4 linked regions of the Oryzias latipes genome follow. The protein of the gene in region 2 binds, or shares a complex with, the protein of the main gene of each other region. Links are inferred from orthologs where the notes say so. Each region holds a gene or a part of one and is shown on either strand. Other genes may lie near its edges.

Region 1 (4,867 bases), on a different chromosome or scaffold from region 2:
TGTCATTTCCTGTCCTGCCTGCTAAAATACTCATAAAATGACACAACTTTAGCTTTGTGAAAATGTGCGCTCCTATTAAGAGTGTAATAAACATTCATTGTAACATTGTTTGTTGCAAATCGTTTTGTGTTGACGTACATAGAGGATGGATGTGATGTTCAAAAGCATCGTTCTATACTTGCTAGTTCTGACCAAGTATGATAACAAACCTGCTCATCAGAGGGAGAAACAAAACCTAATCCTCCACCAAAATCTGGAAATCCTGCTGCTGTGGACTAGGGGGCTGATTTCTGTACCCCTCCTCCTTTTCATGTGCACCGCCACAGAGGCCAAATTTGGCGCGGCTGCAAGCTGATAACTTGTGTGCATGATAAATGAACTCGGGCTAACCCAGACATGAGGGAGGGGGAAATTAAACGCAGACACATACTTCATCTGACAGTCTGTGGAAAGGCAGCTTTGTGCTTCTCTTTTTGTTCATTAAAAAGATTTCACCCTGAACCAAACTATCAGCTGGTTCAGTCGGACAGTGATGAATAAGAAGACCAACAATTAATGGGACCAATTGCTGGAAATGAAACAACATGGTTTGAAGGAGCGATGGTGGGCACATTTATTAATCGAACACTGTCATTTGCTTCCTTATTGTTTCCTTCTGTGCTCTATCACTTTCTGTGTTCTGTCCCAACCTACTCCTGGTATAGAAGTTGAAAACCTGAATGCTGCGCTTGGGCTGAGATACCAATGCATGGAAGCAAATGCTCCACCTATCTGTAAAAGGATTGCAACAGTGAAAATCACAACAACATTTACGACTAAGGGAATCTATGTAAACCTGTGAACTGTCTGATAACTGGCTAGATGAATTTTAGCATCATTTGTCTTTGCAAAGAAAGAAAAAGAAACCTGAGCAAAAGCTAGAACTCAATTTAAAAATTAATGTGAACATCACTGTCTTGACTATTCCTGTAATCTGAGTTGGATTATTTCTGCCTATTTTCCTCCTTAACGACCCAATCCGAAGAAAAACCTTGCATTTTTCTTTCACAAATTGGATTTCGGAATATTAGTTTATTCAATTGTTGTGACATCAGGAGCAGACGGAAAAATATCCTTTGAAAAAGGTTGTATTTTTAAAAATACCCAGGCTGGGCCTCAAGACCCCCCGCCCCGCTCCGTTCCCATGGATCCACTTGTAAACGACTAGATTCATGTACGTCTTTGTTTTCCTCATCCGAGCTGACATCTGGCCCAAAACTGTACGGCTGGACAGCGCCGAGTTATCTGGGAACGAGACAGGTTTATCTCAGAGTCAAATTTCTACTGAACTCCTGCCACTCTGCAGAAACTATGTCCTAGAATGTTTGGTTCAAAGTCATTATTCTTTTGTTGTGGTGATTTTGGAGTGAACTAATGCACATTCCTATAACAGATTATTAAGTATTCCTCAAAATGCGTTTTATAGGGACAGTGTAAGTTCAGATGGAAGCTAAATTTAATGAAAAAAGCATGTTTATGTTTTAGAAATATGTGCTGTTGGTTTTATACAATGCTAAATCCAATCTGCCTATTGCAGTCCCGACTGGGGAAACAGCTTTTACACACGAACAAAATACCTACACCTGTGGCTTCAAACTGTTGAGGAAGATGTCAATGTGTTCCTGTAGTACATCTCCATCTAGGTGAGCCAAGAAAGTATAGATTTGGACAAAGGTATCAAATGGGATCCTTGCAGCACCACCCTCCTCATCATTTGTCAGAATCTCACAGGCAAACTTCATGGAGCTTAAGAGGGTCTGGAAAAGTGCAGAACGACAAATAATGTCAAGAACTTTAGATTCTTAATAGTAATAGTTACATGGGATGAGCATTCATGTAAAATCATGCCAAAGATTCATTCAAAAAAACACACATACATATATGTGCAAAGCTTCCCCTAATGGATGCAGAGCAACACTGCCCCCCTGTGGTTACAGCACCACCCTGCAATTGTTAACGTTTGGCAGCATTCACTTAAACATTAAGAATCTATTTTTTTTAAATCACCAGGTTTTTTTTCTATAGTGATCAATATAATTGTCGAACTTCAATCAGTCCAAATTTAAGGATTTACAAGATGACATGTCTGAAATGAATCTACTCTAGATAAAATAAAATAAAATAAAGTTTTAAGGTTTTTCACTGTGGGTTTGAAATCATAGTCAAATAAAGTGCAACTGAGTGTATATTTTTGTAGCACCTTACCCCTCCTAGAGCACTGCAGCCCAGAGCGAAAAACTCAATCCAGTCGATTTCTGAATCAAAGCCGCCCAAGGACAACAGAGTATCCAACTGATTGGGTGAAAGACACAAGCCCTTCCATTTGGCCTGCAGTTCCTCCTTGCTACATGTTTTCCTGGAGGACAGCTAAAAAAGAAAGGAAAGAGTTAACTGGGATCAGCAGATTATGTTACTTGTCACATTTGCAATCAAAAGGATTTGAGATCTTTTTGCGATTTTAGAAATTTTCTTTTTTGAATGTAGTTTGCACTTTTTTTCCAGTGTGTACCATTAAAAACTTCCGACATAAATGGAGGCATTTCTCAAAAAACGTTTAAATCAGTACACATCTTTTGGTGTTGACAATATCTAGCAAATCAAGGTATAGAATAAATAAGGAAAATAAAATGAAAGTTAAACGGTTTAAATGGCCAAATTTGAAAAATCTGAGTAATTAGAATAAATCTACAAAAAACACACAAAAACAAATACAAACAAATGATTCCCTTTCTTAAACAATGACAAAAATATGTGCAATGATAAACCCTTGATCACTACTGCCTGCCTGCTGTTGAAAAATACCTGCTTGTGTAGGGTTTTTAGTAGACCTGGAGTCAAGCTGGGGTCCATTTTCTGGGTGGTGGCATCAATCTCTAGTCTGTCCTTGACAGGAAGACACTCTCCTTTAGACAAATCATTGAAGTACCTGGATTTAAAAAAAAAATCACATTAATATAAAAGATGCTGCAATAAAAAATAAAAAAAAACATTCAATGACACGTTAAACCAGCCTTGAAAATGATGATTATTCATCTGTTTCACTTGTCGTAAAAACTGCTAAGTCAACTCCAGAACCTATGGATGACTAACGATGTGACTTTCATCAACTGATGATGTGTAGAAATATTAGTGCATTACAATATTGTAAGATTTATGTATGCATAGATCTATTAAGGATCTGCCATTTAGTTTAAGATGTGGACTTGGGCCATTTTCATCGTCTAACTTTTACTTTCTCTAATACTCTGTCATAGATTTGATGTAATGCCTGGAAATTATGATGATCAATGATCCAGTTCGAGCCGAGCTCTAATTGTTTTACAGGAAACTTTGCATTGAATCTAACGTACATAACTGATGTATTAGCTCTGTGGTAGTGGTAACATGCTGTGTGATTTCAAAAAAGAAAATATTTACTAAACAAGAATATTGCTTTTGCAGTTTATCTGGTGTTTTGCAACCATAGAAACTCACGCTGCACTAGCCGCAGGGGTTGCAAGCCAGTTGCCTCTGTGCCGGTCCCAAGCCCGGATAAATAGAGAGGGTTGCGTCAGGAAGGGCATCCGGCGTAAAAATTGCCAAAATAACCATGCGAATCATCCACAACACTTTAGACATACCGGATCGGTCGAGGCCCGGGTTAACAACGACCGCCACCGATGCTGTTAACCTACAGGGTGTCGGTGGAAATTTGACTACTGTTGGTCGAAGAAAGAGGGGAGGCAGAAGGGTCCGGGGCCAGAGAGAGAAGGGAAAAGGCAGGAACATAGGTTTGAGAATAGGGACTCTTAACGTTGGCACAATGACAGGGAAAGGCAGAGAGCTGGCAGACATGATGGAGAGAAGGAAGGTAGATGTACTGTGTGTGCAGGAGACAAGGTGGAAGGGCAGCAAGGCACGTAGTATTGGAGGAGGATACAAACTGTTCTATCATGGTGTTGATAGGAAGAGAAACGGGGTAGGAGTGATTCTGAAGGGGGAGTTTGTAAACAGTGTTCTAGAGGTGAAAAGAGTCTCAGACAGGATGATGAGCCTAAAGTTAGAAATTGAAGGGGTGATGGTGAATGTAGTCAGTGGGTATGCGCCACAGGTTGGCTGTGAGTTAGAAGTGAAGGAGAGATTCTGGAGTGAGTTGGATGAGGTCATAGAGAGTATCCCCAGAGGAGAGAGAGTTGTTATTGGAGCAGACTTTAATGGACATGTTGGTGAGGGCAACAGAGGTGATGAGGAGGTGATGGGCAGGTTTGGTGTGAAGGAAAGGAATCTGGAGGGACAGATGGTGGTGGACTTTGCGAAGAGGATGGAAATGGCTGTAGTCAACACTTACTTCCAGAAGAGAGAGGAACATAGAGTGACATACAGAAGTGGAGGTAGGAGTACTCAGGTGGACTACATCCTATGTAGACGAGGTCATTTGAGAGAGGTTAACGACTGCAAAGTGGTGGTAGGAGAGAGTGTAGCCAGACAGCACCGCATGGTGGTGTGTAAAATGACTCTGGAGGTCAGGAAGAAGAAGAGAGGGAAAACAGAAAAGAAGACCAAGTGGTGGAAGCTACAGAATGAAGAAACTTGTGAGGAATTTAGGCAGAAGTTGAGACAGGTCCTGGGTGGTCAGGATGAGCTTCCAGATGACTGGGAAACTACAGCAGAAATTATCAGGGAAACAGGTAGGAAGGTGCTAGGTGTGTCATCTGGAAAGAGGAAAGACGGTAAAGAGACTTGGTGGTGGAATGAGGAAGTACAGGAATGCGTCCAGAGGAAGAGGTTGGCTAAAAGGAAGTGGGATGTAGAAAGGACTGAGGAAGGTAGACAGGAGTACAAGGAAGCG
Region 2 (5,969 bases):
TCGGCGTCCCCGCTTTGGTCGCACTGGTTCTCGGCGCCGCCGTCTTCCCCCTCGCCGACTAGGCCGGCTCCATTAAAATCATCGTCGAGCTCGTGCCCGTTTTCCGACGTCTCCATGTACTGCTGCTCCGCTTCTTCAGACATTTTTCGTACTATGACACCTACACCCGAGGAAACGATAGAAACATGCCTGTTAATGTCGGCGTCTGTCGTGATTCTGTTCGCCATTACCCCATTACGAATTCACGCTTTTCCCACCATTTTGACCAGCAGATTGGCATTTCATACATTCCAGTTTAAACCGGGTTTATAGCACCAAAAACTCATCTTTTTTACAACATCATCATGGCGGCGACTATCGCCAATCAAGAGTTGTTCTGCCGGGCGTAGAGATTAGCGACGTTGTAGCCATCTCACATCGATAAACCCGGACTGTGCAAATTAAATTCGCAGTTACGTAAGTCAGAGGCCACGCAGCCCTGAAAATTATTAAAATCATGAAATATCGTTCTTCTGTAATCAATATAATGAGAACCGTTTAAAACACAAACAAAGAATGCAGGTAAAATTGCGATTGCGTCGAGTTATGATGAAAAAAAAAATTATAACAGTCTACTTACAAGCCTAGCAGCCGGAGAGCTCTCTTCAAAATGGATTCTCCCACGCGACGAGAAACTCATGGTTGGTTTTCTGGAACCGGCAGGGGGAAAAAATTGACATTTTTCCAAAGAAGCTTTCTGATTGGACAAGGCCGACTGTCAATCACAAATCAACCTATCACACCAGAGTTAATCTCTCTCCTCTATTTTTTTAACACCACTCGTTTCCGCCCCGCAGACGAGGGGAAGGAGTTTAAAAAAAGAAGTGCGGCGTTCACTGATATCAGTTAAATGAATGATCATTACAACGCCCATGTATCCCCTTTCTTTAATTTTATCTTAATCTTTTTTATTTAAGTTTGTATTTTTCTGTATTATTGTTTTTTTTTTACTTAACTTTATTAAGGTTGTTTACATTTTTCTATGCCTGTTGTAATTGTAATTTGATGAACACTTTATACGACGGCGACAATGTTGTAAACATCAAGTGTTTTTTCTACTTAAAAAATGACGCTTCCGTAGCGAGATTAACGATCGAAAATCTTCCGTTTTCACAAGTTTCGACGCAACTCAAATGCAGCACATTCATCTAGTCAATTCTTAAAAAATATAAAAGCTTTCAGTATGTTAGAAAAAACACTCGAATACAATTTAGAACAAAACTTAGTTGATAATGTCACAAAACAAACTTAATGCACAAACACAGCTGAAAGTTGTGTGTTTATTCATAGAAAGTGGTACATAAATTGAATACATCTGGAACTTCCTGAGTCTTTTATTTTGATATCATCCAAGAGTTAGAAATATGTTTGAGGCTGATTCGGATTGTTTTGCAGCAGCCAGTCAGCAAGCCAAATCTGTAAATAAAAACAAATAAATAAATAATTAAATAACAGGAAAATGCTACTAATCAATAAAAAGAAAAATCTGCATAGAGTAAACTAACAACAGGATTGAGGGGCTTTTCTTTACAAAGCTCTGTGAGTCCACGAAGCAAAACCGGCTTCAGACACCTGCTCAGGTATTCCTTGGTTTCATGCTTTGAAGGGGAAGGCTCAATGAAAGCTACAGAGAGAAACAGGAAACATCTATTAAGTCATATAAAATTATACATTAAATACGAAGAGAATGGTGACAATTGGTAGAAAAGAAATTCAGTCTAGTTGTGAGTGAAGGATTAAAACAAGTTTACATGTTTTTGTATTTGTTGTAGTAGCCCTATAGACAACAAAATGTGTAAAAAAGAAACAACAGCTTACAGTTTGGGAACATGAATTTAATCTCCCTCACAGCTTCTTGAAAGGACTCACTGCCGTGAAGAGCATTTTTCAGGTCAGAAGTTCCATATTTCGCTCTAAGACTGGAGAAAATCAGCCATATCATCAGACTAAAGATCTAGATCAGGGGTCTGCAACCTTTTAAGCTACAAGAGTCACTTGGTCTAATTTTCTACTGAGAAAAACACAGTAGAAGCCGCAAAGTCCCACTTCACAAGTTTGGAAAAATTCCTTATTCATGCTTTTGTGGCCATTCATTCACAACATGGAGCTTTATAGCATCGACAATAACTGAATTAAAGTGAAAAATATATATGACATAGTTTTAATCAATTGTTTAATCACATCTATTTTACTTTTAAGAACTGCACAACAATTTCATTTTCAAAATAAAATACAAACATCTGCTAAAGCAGATTTAAAGTTAGCAGATTTACAGAATTAAAAGGGCTAATAAAATTGCAAATCAAACATGGCATGTTTTACAAATATGTCTTTGGTGCACAGTCTTGCTTTTTTACCTTTTACAATACTATCAAATATATTAATGACATCATTATTTCTAGATCCATACATGTAAACACAATTATTTACTTTGAATACTTTGCTTCTGAACAGCAACTAGACACTGTGGTACAGCAGAAGATTGGAAAATGTGCTTTATCTGCATCAGTATGGGCATCTGAGATAAAAATCTAAGCATAACTGACAACTTAACGAGAGAAAAAAAAGAACCAAAACCACAAAAGCATGATATATTACAATCGTATGCTTTTTTTCTTGAAAGCCAAAGAGCCACAATTGAGGGATAATAGAGCTGCATGTAGCTCTGGAACCTCAGGTTGCAGACCTCTGATCCAGATATTCTTCATTGACATGTCATAGTAAAATTTATTCTATTATGAATGTAATGAAATGAAAAATCTACACTGATAAATACAAATGTACTCCTCTGTTACGGTATAAACACAAATAAACATGAAACAGACCACTCTGGCTGACTTTCTTTGGCGTTTGTGATGCTGGCAGGACCAATGATGGACTTCCAGCGTGTGACAGCATCCTCACAAGCCAGCACCATGGCAACGATCGGGCCGGAGCTCATGTAAGCCATCAAGCTCGGAAAGAAAGGTTTTCCGCTGCAGTCTGAGTAGAAGTCACTGCACTGCTCTTGACTCAGCTGCAGCCTTCGCTTCTAACAGGATTGGAGAACGGACAGCAGAACCATGGCAGGAGAGATGACTATTTAAACTTGACAGAAAGGTTTTTTTCAAACACGTATGTCCTCATGATTTTCAAACATCCTACATGAATTAACAGCTAGAGTAGGCTGTTCAAAACTGACGTTTACCTGCAGTTATAATGAAACCACTAACCTTTTTTTGCTCTGAAAGCTAGAAGATCTTGTAGGTTAATACATTACTGTTCCTTCACGTGACTGAGAAATTTTATTTGTACCATCCTTAAAAAAAACTTCTTGTCTTCTGCATCTCTAACCCTTGTGCCATCCTACATTTCATGGACACCAGTGAAGATTGCAAATCATTGAAGAAAAAAGGTTCAGCGCACTGTATTGTGGGGTCTAGATGACCCAACTCCCAATGTTTAAGAGCCTAGGATAGCACAAGGGCTAATTGTGTCAGAAATGACTTTAGCTCGCTCACCGAATTGTTTGGATTAGCGCCCTCAAGTGGCCAAATGATCTCACTGCTCATTTGGCCACTGTGTGTGAGTTCTTGTTACATTTTGGAAAAATAAACAGTTTCTACACAGCATTTTATTTATACTTCTAGCAACAACAAAAAAAACCTTTATTTTTATTGTTAATAAACTTCACATGGCAGTAGACATGTGTCCACTGCGTTAATTAAACGTTGGTCACACAGAAAACTACTCCTTCTAAACGTAAATAGTCTCAGTTCTCAGACGTGTAGGTTTGCGCATCAGTGATTTACTAACCTGCAGGATTGTGAGGCCCGACTGAAGGATGAAACCTTCGATCTTCTCGGCTTTTTCATAGATATCTGGCTTTATGATCGCCAGTGTTCGTTCTACACGAATTTGATCGCCTAAATGCGTAAGTTCCATCTCTGTCTCACGCAAAGTAAAACTGATTTTTATAGGAACGACAAGAAGTCCTCCTCGTCCCACCAATTCAATACCCCTGCGCTGTTTTGGTTGCTACGCTACCATTTCACAAGTACGGGAGCTGAGGAGGGACAAACTTCTTTTATTTCCTACTTGCCACGTGAGAAGCCTTTAAGAATGAAAACTAAGGGTGTAATGATAGATTTTAGCAATAATTCGATATTTATGGTTGCTGATTCATATCGATTCAGTTTGAATGATCCGATTCACTGACCTAAAATGGATCCAGGAGATCTTTAGCCAAAACTTCAGTGTGACTCGGATAAATACCTGGTACCTTGTATTTCCTACAAGATAAGTTTAAATTGTGTACAAAAAAACTAGTAAACAAGAATTAATGTCAAATCCATTCACATTTTAGTTTCATAAAGTTGAGCCCACTGTTTTTCCACATCAACCTAATCCAAAGAGAACATTCTACCACACTGGATGGTCACATCTTTGCAAAATTAAGTATTTCTGCACATTGGAGTGGAATGATCAGTTTTTGCTGCAACCCATGCTTCAATCCAAAAGGCAGTTTCCAGTATTGATTAATTTCATTTCTAAACGATTTTATAATGGTCTGGGGTGTTTTGATTAACTTGCCACATGCATCAATCTGGATGGATCATAGGAATATAAATCAATTCAAATGTTTCACTCCTACAATTAACTTTATTCATGATTCAATGTAGACCTCAACATTTCAAACTTAAATTTGTTAACTAGCTTTTTAAATGATCTTGCATCAATATTATAAGTAAAACTTTGATTATGAGCAGTCTTCTAAAATGACAAACTCAATCTGCGTGAAAGTAAAATATTTAAAGTTAAGACCAACACACAACTTTTCAAACAGTCTTTTTATTTAAAGTCGATGCAGCGATGGATTCTTATCGGGTTCCAATGGTGACCTGCCACACTCTGATCAGGTTATCGGTGTAACCAGCAAACAGGGTCTGCAAGCAAATGAAGGATGGAAGTTACTGATCACAAAAACCATTAAATACATTGATTATAGCCTTGATTTTTGTCCTTTCCCCTCATATTTGCAGGACTGTCAGCAGTCAAAATCAGAGCTAATAGTGAATGGGTATAATCACTGGGGGTTAGAAGGACAGACTAGCTTTAGCAACAGCCCCATCTTGTACTTATGTCAAGAGGAGCTGAATACCTGTCCATCAGCAGACCATGCCAGAGAGGTGCACTGTGGGGGCTCGGCTTTGCTGTTTGTGCTGATCACTTCCTGTCTCAGCTCATCCACAATGATTTTCCCTTCCAGATCCTGCACACAGAATAAACATTTACCGTATGACTAAAACAACTCAAAATAACAGGCAATGTACAGAAATGACTGAAGCTAATTAGTCTGGAGCTCAGAAACAGCCTCTGTTATCATCAAGCAATACAGTTAGCATTTTCAAGTTTCATCAAGGCCCATCAAACCACATTCAGCAGTAGTTCCACATCATCACGTAGGAGCTCTCACCCAGATCTTGATGCTAGGGCCAGTGGCGGCACAAAGCCAGTAGCGGTTGGGGCTGAAGCAAAGGGCATTGATGACATCGCCGCTGTCCAGGGTGTACAGGTGCTTGCCCTCGTTCAGATCCCAAAGCATAGCCTGGCCGTCCTGATTGAGAGAACATTAACAAGAAAATAAGCCATGACCACACAGCAGCTCTGTTCTGGATCTTCATTTAGCGTGGCTTTACGACTCAGTGTCACTCAGAAACAGCCTCTTTTGTCATCAATTGTTTACCAACAGAATGATGTGTTATTTATCCATCACAGTTGACACCTGGAGGTCGGCCTTTGTGTGCCATCACTAAAAATCTTCACAAGTATACGAGTCGAGTTCTCCAACTGAACCAGCTTACCTTTCCACCGGATGCACACAAGGAGCCGTCAGGAGATACGGTCACCGTGTTCAGGTAGCCAGTGTGGCCGATGTGGTTAGTCTTCAG
Region 3 (6,141 bases), on a different chromosome or scaffold from region 2:
TGATTTTGCATGTCCATTCCTTTCCATTCATTCATTACTGCACGCCTCTCCTCTCTTGACAGTACTACTACAACCCCCACTCTCAGCAGTACATGTACTGGGATGGGGAGAAACACACCTACGTTCTTGCTGCTAACCAGTCAAACACTGAAAATGAGAATGCAGCTTCTGCAGAGTCACAGTCTTCCACCTCTGGAAGCAAGGAAAAGAAAGAAAAGCCAAAGAGCAAAACTGCTCAACAGGTACTGTACATTCAAGACCAGTCACAACTGTGGAGAAATGGAACTAGCTCGGAGATTTTACTCCTTTTTATATTCTATCTTCCCTTTACTTTTTAACGATCTATTTATGATATCGTCAATAAGATCACATACAAACTGACGTACACATCTTAGAAGATTTTGACGTATTTGTGGTCTGCATTTTTAGATTGCAAAAGATATGGAACGCTGGGCCAAAAGCCTCAATAGACAAAAGGAGAACATGCGATCTGGTTCTTCGTCTGCCGTTGGGTCCACTTCTCTCCCACCTGGATACACTCGGGCTCCAGGCCACAGTCGCTTGGATGATCAGAGGGAGTCTGCAAGTGCAGATGCAGGATACGCTGTACTAGAGAAAAAGGTGCACGAGGCCAACGTACACACTTGGCTTAAGGGGATATGTCTGTCACAATGCATTTGGACTTAAGACTGGATGGTTATTTACATTTTCTTTTTTGTCCTACAGGGGGCACTGTCAGAAAGGCCTCAAAGTTTTCTGGACCAACTGCGACAAAGCACAGAAGTAAGAGCAATGATGTAGAATATTTGCTAGTGTTTAATCATACTTTTTATAACGTCATTTTGTTTTTTACAGTTAAGAGATTCAATGTATTTGCTTTGCACTTCATCATCATCGTAAAGTCTTGATTTTGACTCTTTGTGTAGCAATCGCCTCCTCAACAGCACGGCCTGGTCCCAGCCTACAGCGCAGAAACTGACAGCGAAGAAGAAGGAGATAAAGAAGATAAGGAGGGAAAAATGACAGACTGGGTTAAACTTGCCTGTCTGCTATGTAGGAGGCAGTTTCCAAGCAAAGAGGCGCTCATAAGGCATCAGCAGCTCTCAGAACTGCATAAGGTACGTTTATTCCATTTTAATGCCAATAAAGATGTGAAACAAAAGATTTTAGACAGTCAACAAAAAGCGTTGGTCTGTTACACGTGTCTTCGTGTACTAAATGAGAAAAAGAAATTGACCAAAATCTTTATTTTCACGTTTGAACATTTTGTCCTGCGTCTGTATCTTTGTTTACAGCAAAATTTGGAGCAGAGAAAAAAACAATTGGATGCTGTAAGCAGAGAGGTTGGTCAGTTCATGTGCATGGATTGTACAACAATACATGCATTCAATATTGAGTGGTTTTATGCAGTTTCTACTTGTGTTTTGACATTGCAGAGACTTGAACCTCCAGATTCTAGGAAGCGAAAGTTTAACCCTCTGTAAGTCAGTGATGCTCAATACTTAATACAAATAATGTAACTTTTTTAAGGTGTGTTGCCTAATTTTTTATATCCTTTCCTTGTCTGTATAGTGAAGGCATCACCGGCATTAGTCTTGGAGCACGAATGTTGCAAGGAGGAGTGAAAAGAAGTCTTCTACTGCATAATACAGAAATAGAGTGACCTCTCACATGTAAATTTCCTGATCCAGAAAGGACAAGCTCACCTGCAAAACACTTCACTCTTCCCCATTACATAGACAGAGAAAAATATATTTTGGTCTGACGATACTAGAGTCTGAAGAACATAGCACCTCTTTGGACTGATCCTGTAGCAGTACATGTCAAGATATTGCACAAATTGCACCTTTTTGCTTGTTTTTTGTGTGATTTAGGATTTCCTCTTGCTTCAGTTTGTGTGAATTAAACATGTGAATTCAGAATCACTTACTTTCAGAAAAAGGAAAGTTCTACACAGGTCTAAATGTCATGAAATGAGAATTTTCAGTCACTGTACCATATAGTTTTATTTGTTTTTTAAGAATATGCTGTCATTTAATAAATGATGGGTCCCAGCATAAACTGTGTATATTTCAGAAGTTTTTACGGAAACACTTTTGTGTGTCTGTGTTGTTGTTTTTTTTTTTTTTTTTTTTTAATATGATCACTTACTTAATTGGTTGTGCAGAAAAAAAAACGTTCTTTTGCAGAAGTTGAGTATCTGCAAAAGTCGCTTTCTACAAACAATGTTTTCTTTTTTTGGTTACATATGAACATACTTTTTTTATTTCATATTTTTGGTAGTCGCAGTTGCTAAACTAACTTTTTAATTTCACTTACAAAAAATTAAATACTGCAAGTGTAAAATAGATTAAAAAAAATGTTACATTTTGACCAACGTCTACTTTTGTTTACTAGTATTTCACAATTTTTGTCATTAAGTTTGGCCCTACCCGAAGTTGGGGTTAGTTGTTGCTGTGGAGTTTCCATGGTAACGCTATTAGAATTTGGTATGTTCGGTGTAGCTCGTACCATCCATACCCAAATTAACCATAATCCTTGTTAAATATTATCGGAAAATAGAGCCTTTGAATTGCTCGTGTTTCCACTCATTTCCGCGTAAAACTGCACTATTGCTTATCGTCGTACCGAATGCTGGAAGCCTGTTGGCTAGCTTAAAGTCGGTTCAATCCCGCTATGGAGGAAGAAATTCTACTGTCGGACTTGGAAGATGAGGAGGAAACAACTAATGCGAAAGGAGAAGGCGATAAGGTACACAAAAATCCGTTAAAAAAAAAAAACACACATTGATTTTTACAGAAACTGAGGAAAAAAAAGTTCATTCGTAAACTACAGTAATGCATTGACAGCTACTGAAATGAATTTCAAAACTTCTGTTCATTAAAATAAAGCTTTTTTGTTTTGTTTTTTTAAAGGCTCAAGCACACACATTGACCAAAGACATAATAAAAGAGGGACTTTCATTATTGTGCAGGACAGTAGACAGACTTGGACATGCTTTTATTAAATTAAACCTCAATAACATGTAAGCAGACAAAACACATTTTAACTGGACTGACTAACCCAATCAGCTTCTAATGGATTTTTCTTTACTACCTACTTCACAGGAAATTAAATGATCTAGCTGCGATCAGCGGCTACATTCACATACGTTTATTGGATTTATCCAACAACAGCCTTACTGATCTTTCTCCTCTGGCCTCCCTAAAGCAGCTCCTGTGGCTGAAGGTAGCCTACTTTATTTAGATTTGTCTTGATCATTTCTGTGGCAGATTCATTCATTTGAAATGACATTAATTGCTGAATTGTTTCTAATTTCCTCTATGATTGAGAGGTAAAAGGATTTAGTGGTGAGCCTCTGGTTTTAAAATGGTCCTTCAAACAGCACCAATAGTTATAATGGGTTGTCTGTACATTCTTAATGATCGACAAACTGCAGGTTGACAAAAATGATGTGGCGAGCTTCCGAGGACAACCGTTTGCTGAGCTGATCTATCTGCAAAGGCTAAATATGGCAGCAAATCAGTTAAATGATGCCGATGGCCTGGTTGGGCCCGCCCTGGAGAGCCTCAATCTTACAGGTTATTGATTAATCTGTATTCCAAAATTTAAAATAATCTAATTTTTAAAATTATATATATATATATATATATTTTAAAATTATATTTACGATGTAAAATACTTTCTATCTCACATTTTTGGAAATATTAAACATTTAAAGCCTAGTATAGATTTTAAGTGACACAGTGACCTCTTTTTCAGGAAACAAAATTCAGTCGCTGCATTGTTTTCAAACTAGCTGCTTTGGAAATCTGCTTACTCTGGAGCTGAGAGGAAACCATTTGGAAACCACTGATGGCCTCAACCTTCCAAATCTGCAACGATTATATCTGGTACATAAAAGCTGTTATTTTATTAAAATGACTAATATCTGTGAAAGTTCTTATCACTAAAATTATGCTCTTCCAATACCGTACCACTATTCCTTACAACAATATATCAAAATATTGATTAGAATTGCTATTACCTTTTTTTCCCCTTTTTCATAGGCTGATAATGGGATCAAGCATCTTGAAGGTCTAGACAAGTTAGAGTCTCTCGCCATCCTTCATATTCGAGATAATAAATTAGAAACTCTAGAAGGCCTCAGTCCCAACATGAAGTGTCTTCAGTATCTAAATGTCAGGTATGTGTAAGAAGGTGAGAGACCCATTGTGGTACCTACAAAAATTCTAAGAGTTCATATTTTCTGTTTGTTTCCATCTTTTAGAGGCAATTTAATTGCAGAGGAAAAAGCTTTGCAAAGCATTGGCCTTGTGGCAAAAAGCCTGCAAGCATTGGTTCTTTCTGAGAACCCGCTGGTGGCAACAGCAGACTATCGCCCCAATGTGTTGACACTTTTACCGCAGCTGAAAAGACTCGACAAGGAGCCTGTGACACCTGCGGAGAGGGGTGACAATCAGATGAGAATCAGAGTAAATGCTTAATATTTTTGTGGTGTGATCAGATCACATATTCTGGCCTTTTTTTTTTTTTTTTTTAAAAAAAGGACATTTCTATCTTTTCAGGAACTCGAGGAAGAGGAAGTACCTGAGCCATAAGATTTCATAAGATCTTTGTGAGAGGAAGTGCTGGGCATAAAAAGCAGGTCTTTCAAGAGATGATGATCGTGATTGCACATCAAGTTTGATTTTAGAAAAGCTTTCTTTCCAAATTGTTACAATAAAAAAATTGCCTTGTGAAGTGTTTTTTTTTTTTTTTTGTCTTAACAAGAACAATCACATACACAACATGTAGTTGCAGGATTAAAGGTGGGGCTGGTTTATAATCCATGCATTGTCATACATTTTTCCCTGAGTAAGAATGAGAGGGCAAAATCTGACCGCACTTCCTAGTTGGCTGACGTCCACCTGCGACCTTAAAGGGACAGTAACATAAAAAAAACGTATGTGAAACATTATTAATGCATAACCTGCATGTTCTAATTAACTGTTTAATGGATGTCAGCTATATTATAATATATATGTTTAATTTGTTGCAGTTTTGACAGTTTTCAATAACATTTTCACGCTGCACCGTGATGCATTTGTGTACATATGGTATATCTGTCACCGGTCTTATTGTTATCTGTGGAATTTATTGAGATTTCCTAACATGAAATTTAACGATAAAACTTTAAATACGTCTTTGAAGATGAACAGTTAAGGAGTTAAGTAACAGCCTCTCAAATAAAGCGCGATTTGACGTAATAGGATTGCCTTTTTCTGCTCCCTCCCCTTCAGTCGTCCCCTCCCCTCCTCTCAGGCTCGCATTGGGGCAGCTAGCATCGGCGTGGAGTAGCACTGAACCCACGACACCCGAGACGCACTGCAGTTAAAACAACTCACATTAAATTCACTTTCATTAACGTCCCTTTCAAGTCCAAATAAACATGGCTAACTATCACAAGCCCGACGAGAAGACCCTGCAGGGGCTGAAAGACGTCGCTAACAAGCTACGGATCAACTCCATTAAGGCAACATGCGCCTCTAACTCTGGGTAAGTTTTTTTAAAATAATAATTCTGGAGTTTAATGAAGTATTGCGTTTGAAAGAAAAAGTGACTACCGAGTAAAGGCGTTTAACTGCGAGGGCCTGTTTGCACGTGCGGTGGATTAGTTTCACGCGGCGCAACTTCGCAGAAGCTAGCGTGAAGTTTCAATGAATGCAGTTTGTCTGCTTTTACTTGCCGTACATTTCAACTCAATGCAGCTAACATTTTTTTACTATGCAGACAATAAAAAACCTATAGAAGGCATGATACTGACATTTCGAGTCGCCATTGCTATTTATTAGCAAATAGATCACATGCTTGTGGTGAGTCCCGTGGTTAGTACAACACGGTAGATTCTACAGCTGTGATTATTTGTTTTTAAATTATTTTTTATTGTTCTAAAATGTATGTAATGTTCAATGTGTCAAGTTTAAAAACGAGCACTTGTGCCATTGTTTTATCTCCGACTTTAGCCTTATCGGGTTTTCCGATCAGCGTCAAAAACCAACTCAAACATCGTGTTTTCATAATAAACCACTTGAGTTTATAGATGGATCCAAGTCCAAACGGAAATCTTCATTTTATAGAAGTGCTTTTTTATGCCGGTTG
Region 4 (6,045 bases), on a different chromosome or scaffold from region 2:
ACATGTCAGTCATGTAGTTCAGAACCCCAGCAATGAGGCCACCGACAGCGGCCACAGCGTCACCAACAATCCCCAAAGCCATTCTGGATCTCTGCACGCGCTCCTTCACTGCATCCCAACTCCACACTCACACAAACTCAGGAGTGGAGACGCATTTAAATTCCAGCAGGGTTTTAGTCACCAGTTTGCTTTTCCCTTCCCAAAGCCCAGCCCTCTTTCAGCCTGAAATGCTGATTAGACACCCAGATTACATGCAGCTGCGCCTGATCTGCGCAGACATCTGACCTTTGAACTGCAGGGCAACAACAAAGCCAGGAAATCTAGGAGGGTTAACTTTCATGGTCAAAGGTTGATGAAGATTCAGGAACTTTGCCAGAATAAAATACATGGAAACAAATATTTATGGAGAAATAATAAATAAATATTTGTTTTCCTCTACAAGCCTTCCCTTCATACTCATTTTTAAACTCAGATTTAGTATAGATGTAGCTTCTGAACTTTGAGCTCAGTAACAGAGCAGTCTCATTGTGACACACAAGTAAAATGTGGAAACAAGGCAGAGCGATGGGCAGTTTTGAAATATGCAGTCTAATAATAGCTACAGCTTTTTTTTCAATTTAAAATGACTTTATTAAAAGTTTTGAACACTTCTTGAACAAGCCATAAAAGACAATAAAATTACAAAAATCAATATTTGTCCTTTCATGCTTATTGTGAAACAGTGAGGTGGCAATTTTTTATACGATCTAAATAACAAAAACAATATTAACTCATTTTTAATTTACTCCAATAAAATAAAATATCAAAATGTTAAACAAAGATATCAGGAAAAAAATAGCACTTTTTATTTATTTATCTTGTGATCCGTCATTGCTGTCATATTCCGGCAGTCTTCTGATGACTTTCTGGTTCCTTCCAATGACTTACTGGTCCAAAATTTCCATCATGCAGCCTCCTGCAATAAAGTGTCCAGTAAATACCAGCAAACGTTTGCTCCTTTCTGTACTTTTTGAACACACATTTTGATGTACCAAATATTTGAGAAAAACAACAAATACTTACCTTTTCTAGACCGATAGGAGATGGACTTGCTTTGATTTCTCTCATCTCTTCCTCCTTTTCTTCATGGTTGCGGTCAGTTATGTCTTCCTCTTTTTTTTCATGGTGAATTGTCTCATCGGGTTGAGCATCTTCACTCTGGAGCACTGACGAGGACCGGATGACATCTTCAAGTTTCTCAGTTTCCACATCATCAGTCTAAGAAAAAGTAAAGAAATTACATTTAAAAAACACATTTTTTGAAGAGTTTTAGGACTTTTAGCTCAACATAAGAACTATTAAAAGCATTTGTTTTATTAAAGCAGACTGCAATGTATTTCAAACTTGTATTATACAGCATTTTTTAAGAATCAATGTGCAGATCCTGCCTGTAACGCTGGAGTAGATTCCTTAATTCTGTCTCTGCAGTGTGCGTGACTCATCTGGAGTCGATTTTATCAGCAGCCTCCCTCATGCGCTGCCCATTTGCCTCCTGATGCTTAACTATTGAATAGTGCTGTCTGTCTCAGCGTCTGTCTCTAGTGTCTGAGCTAATCTGTGGCTCCTCAGAGGGGGGTTAAAGTTTTAGGCCTTTAAAGACCCACTCTGATGAAAACTGTGTTTTTAACATGTTGTTAAAAACAATGGCCTGATATTCAAAAGATGTCATGATGGCGGACATAATATGAAAAGAAAGTTAAGCTCTAAATTGTATTTTTAAGTACCTCTTTTTTCAAATTGTTGTTAATTGGGAGCAAACAAAAAAATGCAGTTTGAAAAAGATCATATTTGTTATGTATCCAGGTACGTCGGCGTTTTCTTCGTCCAAGCTGGCATGTGGTTCAAAACTGTACATCTGAACAGCTCCGGTATTGCTCACCATTTCTGTTGCACCAGTCATGTTAGGTGGGTGTGAGGGGCTGTAAGCTAACGGGAGAGGGTTTCAAAATACTGGTACCGGTAAGGGGGGAAGGGGTCAAACCACCCACGAATCAGAGGCATATTTCTGATGAACTACTACTGCTCTGTAGAAACTATGTCCCGGAAAACCACAGATTTTAGATTTTTGACTAAAATCTTCATAATTGATTGATACGGCACAATCATAGTCGCAGACGCGACGTTCACCTGAGCCCAGCAAAGCTGTGAATTAACCTAGCTGGGAACGTTTCCTGCAAATGGTGAGATGGCCAGCTTGAATTGTTCCTGTGACTAAACAAACCAGGCTATTGCAGTGCTAAAGAAAAAAAATAAAGAAATATTTTGAAATCTTTCCACTGGGTCCCAGTCAGCTTTAGGATTGATTCTAAAGTTCTTTTCATTTGTTTTTAAAAGTTTAAATGGAGTTGGCCCCTCATTTTTTTATTAGATTTACTTTTAGTTTATGACCCTCCTAGATCCACAGGTGGAGGTGTGCTGGTGGTCCCAAAAGTCAGAACAAAAACCCACGACGAGGCCTGATTTCAGTACTGTGGGCCTTCCATGTGGAACGTCTCCTCAGGCAGGTGAGGGCTTCATCCACTGTGGAGGTTTTTAAGAAAAAAATTAAAACTCATTTTTTTAGTAAAGCCTTTATGTAGTTTTTACTTGTCAACATGTTTTCATTAGATTTTATAAATTTTATCAGCAATTGATGCGCTTCATTTTGATTGTACCTGTGGGATGTGTATGTTTTGGGTCTGTATGTGTTTTAATGTTGTTAATTTTATTTTATCATTATTATTTTTACTATGTTTGCTATTTTAACTACTGTTTTTTATCTTACAATTATCTATTTTATTATGGAAAGCACTTTGAGAGGCTTTGTAGTCGAAAAAGTGGTGCACAAGTAAAGTTGAATTTGAATTACAAGACCACTGGGAATTCTGTGAAAATAGATCAAAAGATGGTTAGAGTAGGTCTTTAAAAATGTCAGCTATGCATTCAGGATGTTTAAAATCAAATACTTTTAAGTTAGCAATAGAAAGTGAGAAAGTACTTTCTCTGTGCCTTTTGATGCATTACTGATCTGCTCCTCTTCTGTGAGATTTTCCTGATGTGATGCTTCTTGGCTGCTTTTTTCCTGATCTTGATCCAGCAGAGCCAGACTTGCCTTCTTCTGCAAATACAAAGGTGATACAGGAACAAATCTAAGCTTACAAGTCTAAAGTTTACAAGTATACATCTTATATAAACCATAAAATGTTTAAACTTTCATTTTGTTTTAAGTAGGGCTCAGCTGTGTGTCAGTAGAGGTACAGACAGTTTCTGTGTTAAAGGTAAAAGGTGAGTCTTTGTTGTTGAGGCCCTACTTATTTTACATCCTGCAGCATAATGAGTTTACGTGCTCTAACACTGTTATCCTCTTAAAACCTGTTTGACGGCATGCAACAACATGGGTATAATCAGAAGCAGCTGGAGTGCAAAATCTAGATCCATCATTTTAAAAAAAAAATGACACTATGGTTGGTGTGTTTACACACTTTTCTAATAGTTTCTAATTCAGCACTGCATTTGCAAGACAACGTTTCAAAAAAATTATGATATATGCAATCACTTTATGTTTTTATAGCGTTTTGTAAATGGAAAACACGGAAAAGTAAACCACGTAATGCTTAAAAACACTGTAAATCAACAACTTTTGTGTTTGCATCCTTTAGTGCCCCCTGCTGGTGAAAACAACAAAACGACTCACCTTCTTCTCGTACAGCGTATTTGAGTTATACTTGTACAGCCAGTGGGCCAAATAAAGGATAGGGTCCACGGGTTTCCGTTCAACCACTTCAGCAAGTCCTTCAGCCAAACATTTCCCCAGATGTTTATTAAGATACTCCGAATCCATCATGCTACACGTTTTCTGATTGTTTATCTACAGAGCAAATATGGAGGCTCGGAGCTATTAAGGCAATAATGACGAACAAAAATGACCTGAAAGCGATTTTATGGATAAAACCTGCACAAATTAGCCAAAATTAACACGGAAATTACCGTATTTTACTGTTTTATGCGGACGGTTGCATCTCCGTGGTAACGGTCCCACACAGTTTAAAGTCTCCCAACCGTTTTTTAGTTCCGCTTTGTATTCGATGTCATTTCTATAATGCAACCATTGGTTGTTTCAGGCATTGTTATTACTACTATAAATATGATGATGGTGATGATGATTTTTATAATAATAATAATAATAATAATAATAATAATAATAATAATAATAATAATAATCCTCAATTATATTAATAACACCCCCAAAAAAAACTACAGACAAAAAGAAATATTTGTGAAAAAACCTCATTGTCATTCATACACACACCCATACACAGACGCACAAAATAGTATTTGTGAAACAGATTAAATATTTTGACGAGAAAGTGATCATTTTGAGATGTGTTTTAAATTGCTTTCCAGTAGTTAAACTCAATAAAACAATATTAAAATTCTTTTGCATCTTTACAAGTTTTGCTTCAATGTGTTATGAAGCAGAAAGAGACATCAGTCACAGAATGTCAGAAATTGGGGGAGGAATAATTCAAAAGACTATGTTAAAAAAGGAATTCATAAAACTAATAGTTATCTTAATCTAAATGGTGCAGATGCTACTACATAGTTATTTAATAAAAGCAGAAATAAAATTGTTGGAAGATTCTATATTCACACTCAAAGAAAAATGTGATTTGTGCATTTTTACGAAATTTTTACCACTAGGTGGCGCAGACCCTGTTAGTCTTACTGACTGCATAATAGATATATTAAAACATAATGTCCTATTGTACAGTCAATGGCTTTATCTACTGTTATGATAAACTGTTCTGTCCTTAAAAAGTGGGCCATTTGGTAATATGTTTAAGTAGAAAAATGGGAGAAATTGCCACTTATAATAACTGAGAAAGATACATGTCTAGAATGTCTTATATATATTTTTCATCTTTTTCCCCTCCATATTACATTACAATTTCTTGCACTGGGATTTTTGCAATTGTTTGGATTTTTTTTTGGTTCTGTTATTTACAGAGTGGCAGTCTCATTATAAAAAAAAACCTTGTTTTAAACAAACTGTTAGAAACAGACCTCAGTTGGAAACTCCCTCTTTATCCCTGTTTTATCGTTATATGACAGACAGGGCTGTGGGTGGTAGTTTGTCCCTCGTGGTGTTCCATAGGTTAATATTCATGGCCAGCACCTGTCTGTTGAGCTGTGATTGGCTCATGAGGCTGATAAATAGCAGCTGTGAGTTCCACCTAGATGCTGGTTTGGCCTTGGTGGGTGAGCTTGACATGTGGGCTTTTTTTTTTTTTTTTTTTTTTTTTTTTTTTTTTTTAAGCTAAAGCTTAATCATTTGAGTCCTTTTACAAAAGTTTTTTAAGCATTTGAGTTTGCAACATTTTAAATTCTATTTATATTAACAGGTGGTGGCATGAGTTCTGACCCTGGGGCATGAGCGGTAACATAAGGGTTTGTAAACATGTATTTGTCCCAGGGAGAACTAACTTATTTTTCTTTTTCCAGCAGAGTTGCCACTGCTGTTTTGCTTAGTGTTTTTAATGTTTAAATCAAGCTTGACACCCTTGCTCTTATCCATTTTTTTAAACTGTTTGCTCATTTTAGTCTCTTGGTGGTTGGACCTGGCTGGAGGTGGCTGCCTCCTCCCTTTATCCTTACGGTAGCTGGTGGGTGCCATGTGTAGTATTGTGTAAGGGGGATTTCCCCCCCCCCCCCATTTCCGGCCTACAAATTAGTGGTGTCCTGCTCAGTTGCACCTCTTCTGTTTTGTATTTTCTTTTAATCACTGTTTGGGTTGTGGTGTGTTTGTGTGAATTTGGGCCCTGAGCAGGTACTCCTGGTGAGGGTTTGGATTAGAGATCTCCCTTGGTGGTGGTCGTCGTGGCTACCCACCGGTGCAGTGGGGCCGAGGCGATCCTGGAGGCAGCCTCCCTCATGCGGTGCTGGAGTGTGGTCCAACTGTCTTTATTTTAACCTTCTCTTTTATGGAACGTGTGTCAAGTTTTTAATTGTATATTTTTAACAACTATC

What was found.
Region 1: nme5 (region 2) and ropporin-1-like protein share a complex: the UniProt entries of both Homo sapiens proteins name them as parts of the axonemal radial spoke complex. The link is inferred for Oryzias latipes from reciprocal best matches to the Homo sapiens genes NME5 and ROPN1L.
Region 3: nme5 (region 2) and lrrc23 share a complex: the UniProt entries of both Homo sapiens proteins name them as parts of the axonemal radial spoke complex. The link is inferred for Oryzias latipes from reciprocal best matches to the Homo sapiens genes NME5 and LRRC23.
Region 4: nme5 (region 2) and DPY30 domain-containing protein 1 share a complex: the UniProt entries of both Homo sapiens proteins name them as parts of the axonemal radial spoke complex. The link is inferred for Oryzias latipes from reciprocal best matches to the Homo sapiens genes NME5 and DYDC1.

The regions. Positions count from the first base shown.
Region 1 is NC_019878.2:13,553,465-13,558,331, forward strand, and holds part of ropporin-1-like protein, read right to left. Parts: intron 2,966-4,867; coding exon 2,842-2,965; intron 2,407-2,841; coding exon 2,245-2,406; intron 1,797-2,244; coding exon 1,621-1,796; intron 1-1,620. UniProt on the Homo sapiens protein: Functions as part of axonemal radial spoke complexes that play an important part in the motility of sperm and cilia. Important for male fertility.
Region 2 is NC_019868.2:17,075,652-17,081,620, reverse strand, and holds nme5 (nucleoside diphosphate kinase homolog 5), read right to left. Parts: upstream 4,086-5,969; 5' UTR 3,964-4,085; coding exon 3,835-3,963; intron 3,071-3,834; coding exon 2,865-3,070; intron 1,959-2,864; coding exon 1,858-1,958; intron 1,664-1,857; coding exon 1,545-1,663; intron 1,456-1,544; coding exon 1,396-1,455; 3' UTR 1,300-1,395; downstream 1-1,299. Other genes in the region: heterogeneous nuclear ribonucleoprotein A/B, read right to left, coding at 1-143; rack1 (receptor of activated protein C kinase 1), read right to left, coding at 4,899-4,964, 5,180-5,290, 5,495-5,635, 5,883-5,969. UniProt on the Homo sapiens protein: Functions as part of axonemal radial spoke complexes that play an important part in the motility of sperm and cilia. Does not seem to have nucleoside diphosphate kinase (NDPK) activity.
Region 3 is NC_019865.2:13,825,169-13,831,309, forward strand, and holds lrrc23 (leucine-rich repeat-containing protein 23), read left to right. Parts: upstream 1-2,411; 5' UTR 2,412-2,676; coding exon 2,677-2,751; intron 2,752-2,915; coding exon 2,916-3,025; intron 3,026-3,107; coding exon 3,108-3,228; intron 3,229-3,439; coding exon 3,440-3,581; intron 3,582-3,762; coding exon 3,763-3,893; intron 3,894-4,049; coding exon 4,050-4,186; intron 4,187-4,270; coding exon 4,271-4,475; intron 4,476-4,568; coding exon 4,569-4,601; 3' UTR 4,602-4,743; downstream 4,744-6,141. Other genes in the region: RNA-binding protein 10, read left to right, coding at 63-242, 430-621, 727-783, 927-1,118, 1,296-1,343, 1,437-1,480, 1,573-1,663; transketolase, read left to right, coding at 5,432-5,538. UniProt on the Homo sapiens protein: Essential for sperm motility and male fertility. Plays an important role in the proper assembly of the third radial spoke (RS3) head and the bridge structure between RS2 and RS3 in the sperm flagella.
Region 4 is NC_019877.2:16,025,125-16,031,169, forward strand, and holds DPY30 domain-containing protein 1, read right to left. Parts: upstream 4,074-6,045; 5' UTR 4,006-4,073; exon of another isoform or gene 3,946-4,005; intron 3,887-3,945; 5' UTR 3,863-3,886; coding exon 3,713-3,862; intron 3,137-3,712; coding exon 3,017-3,136; intron 1,258-3,016; coding exon 1,063-1,257; intron 956-1,062; coding exon 944-955; 3' UTR 824-943; downstream 1-823. UniProt on the Homo sapiens protein: Functions as part of axonemal radial spoke complexes that play an important part in the motility of sperm and cilia. Plays a crucial role during acrosome biogenesis.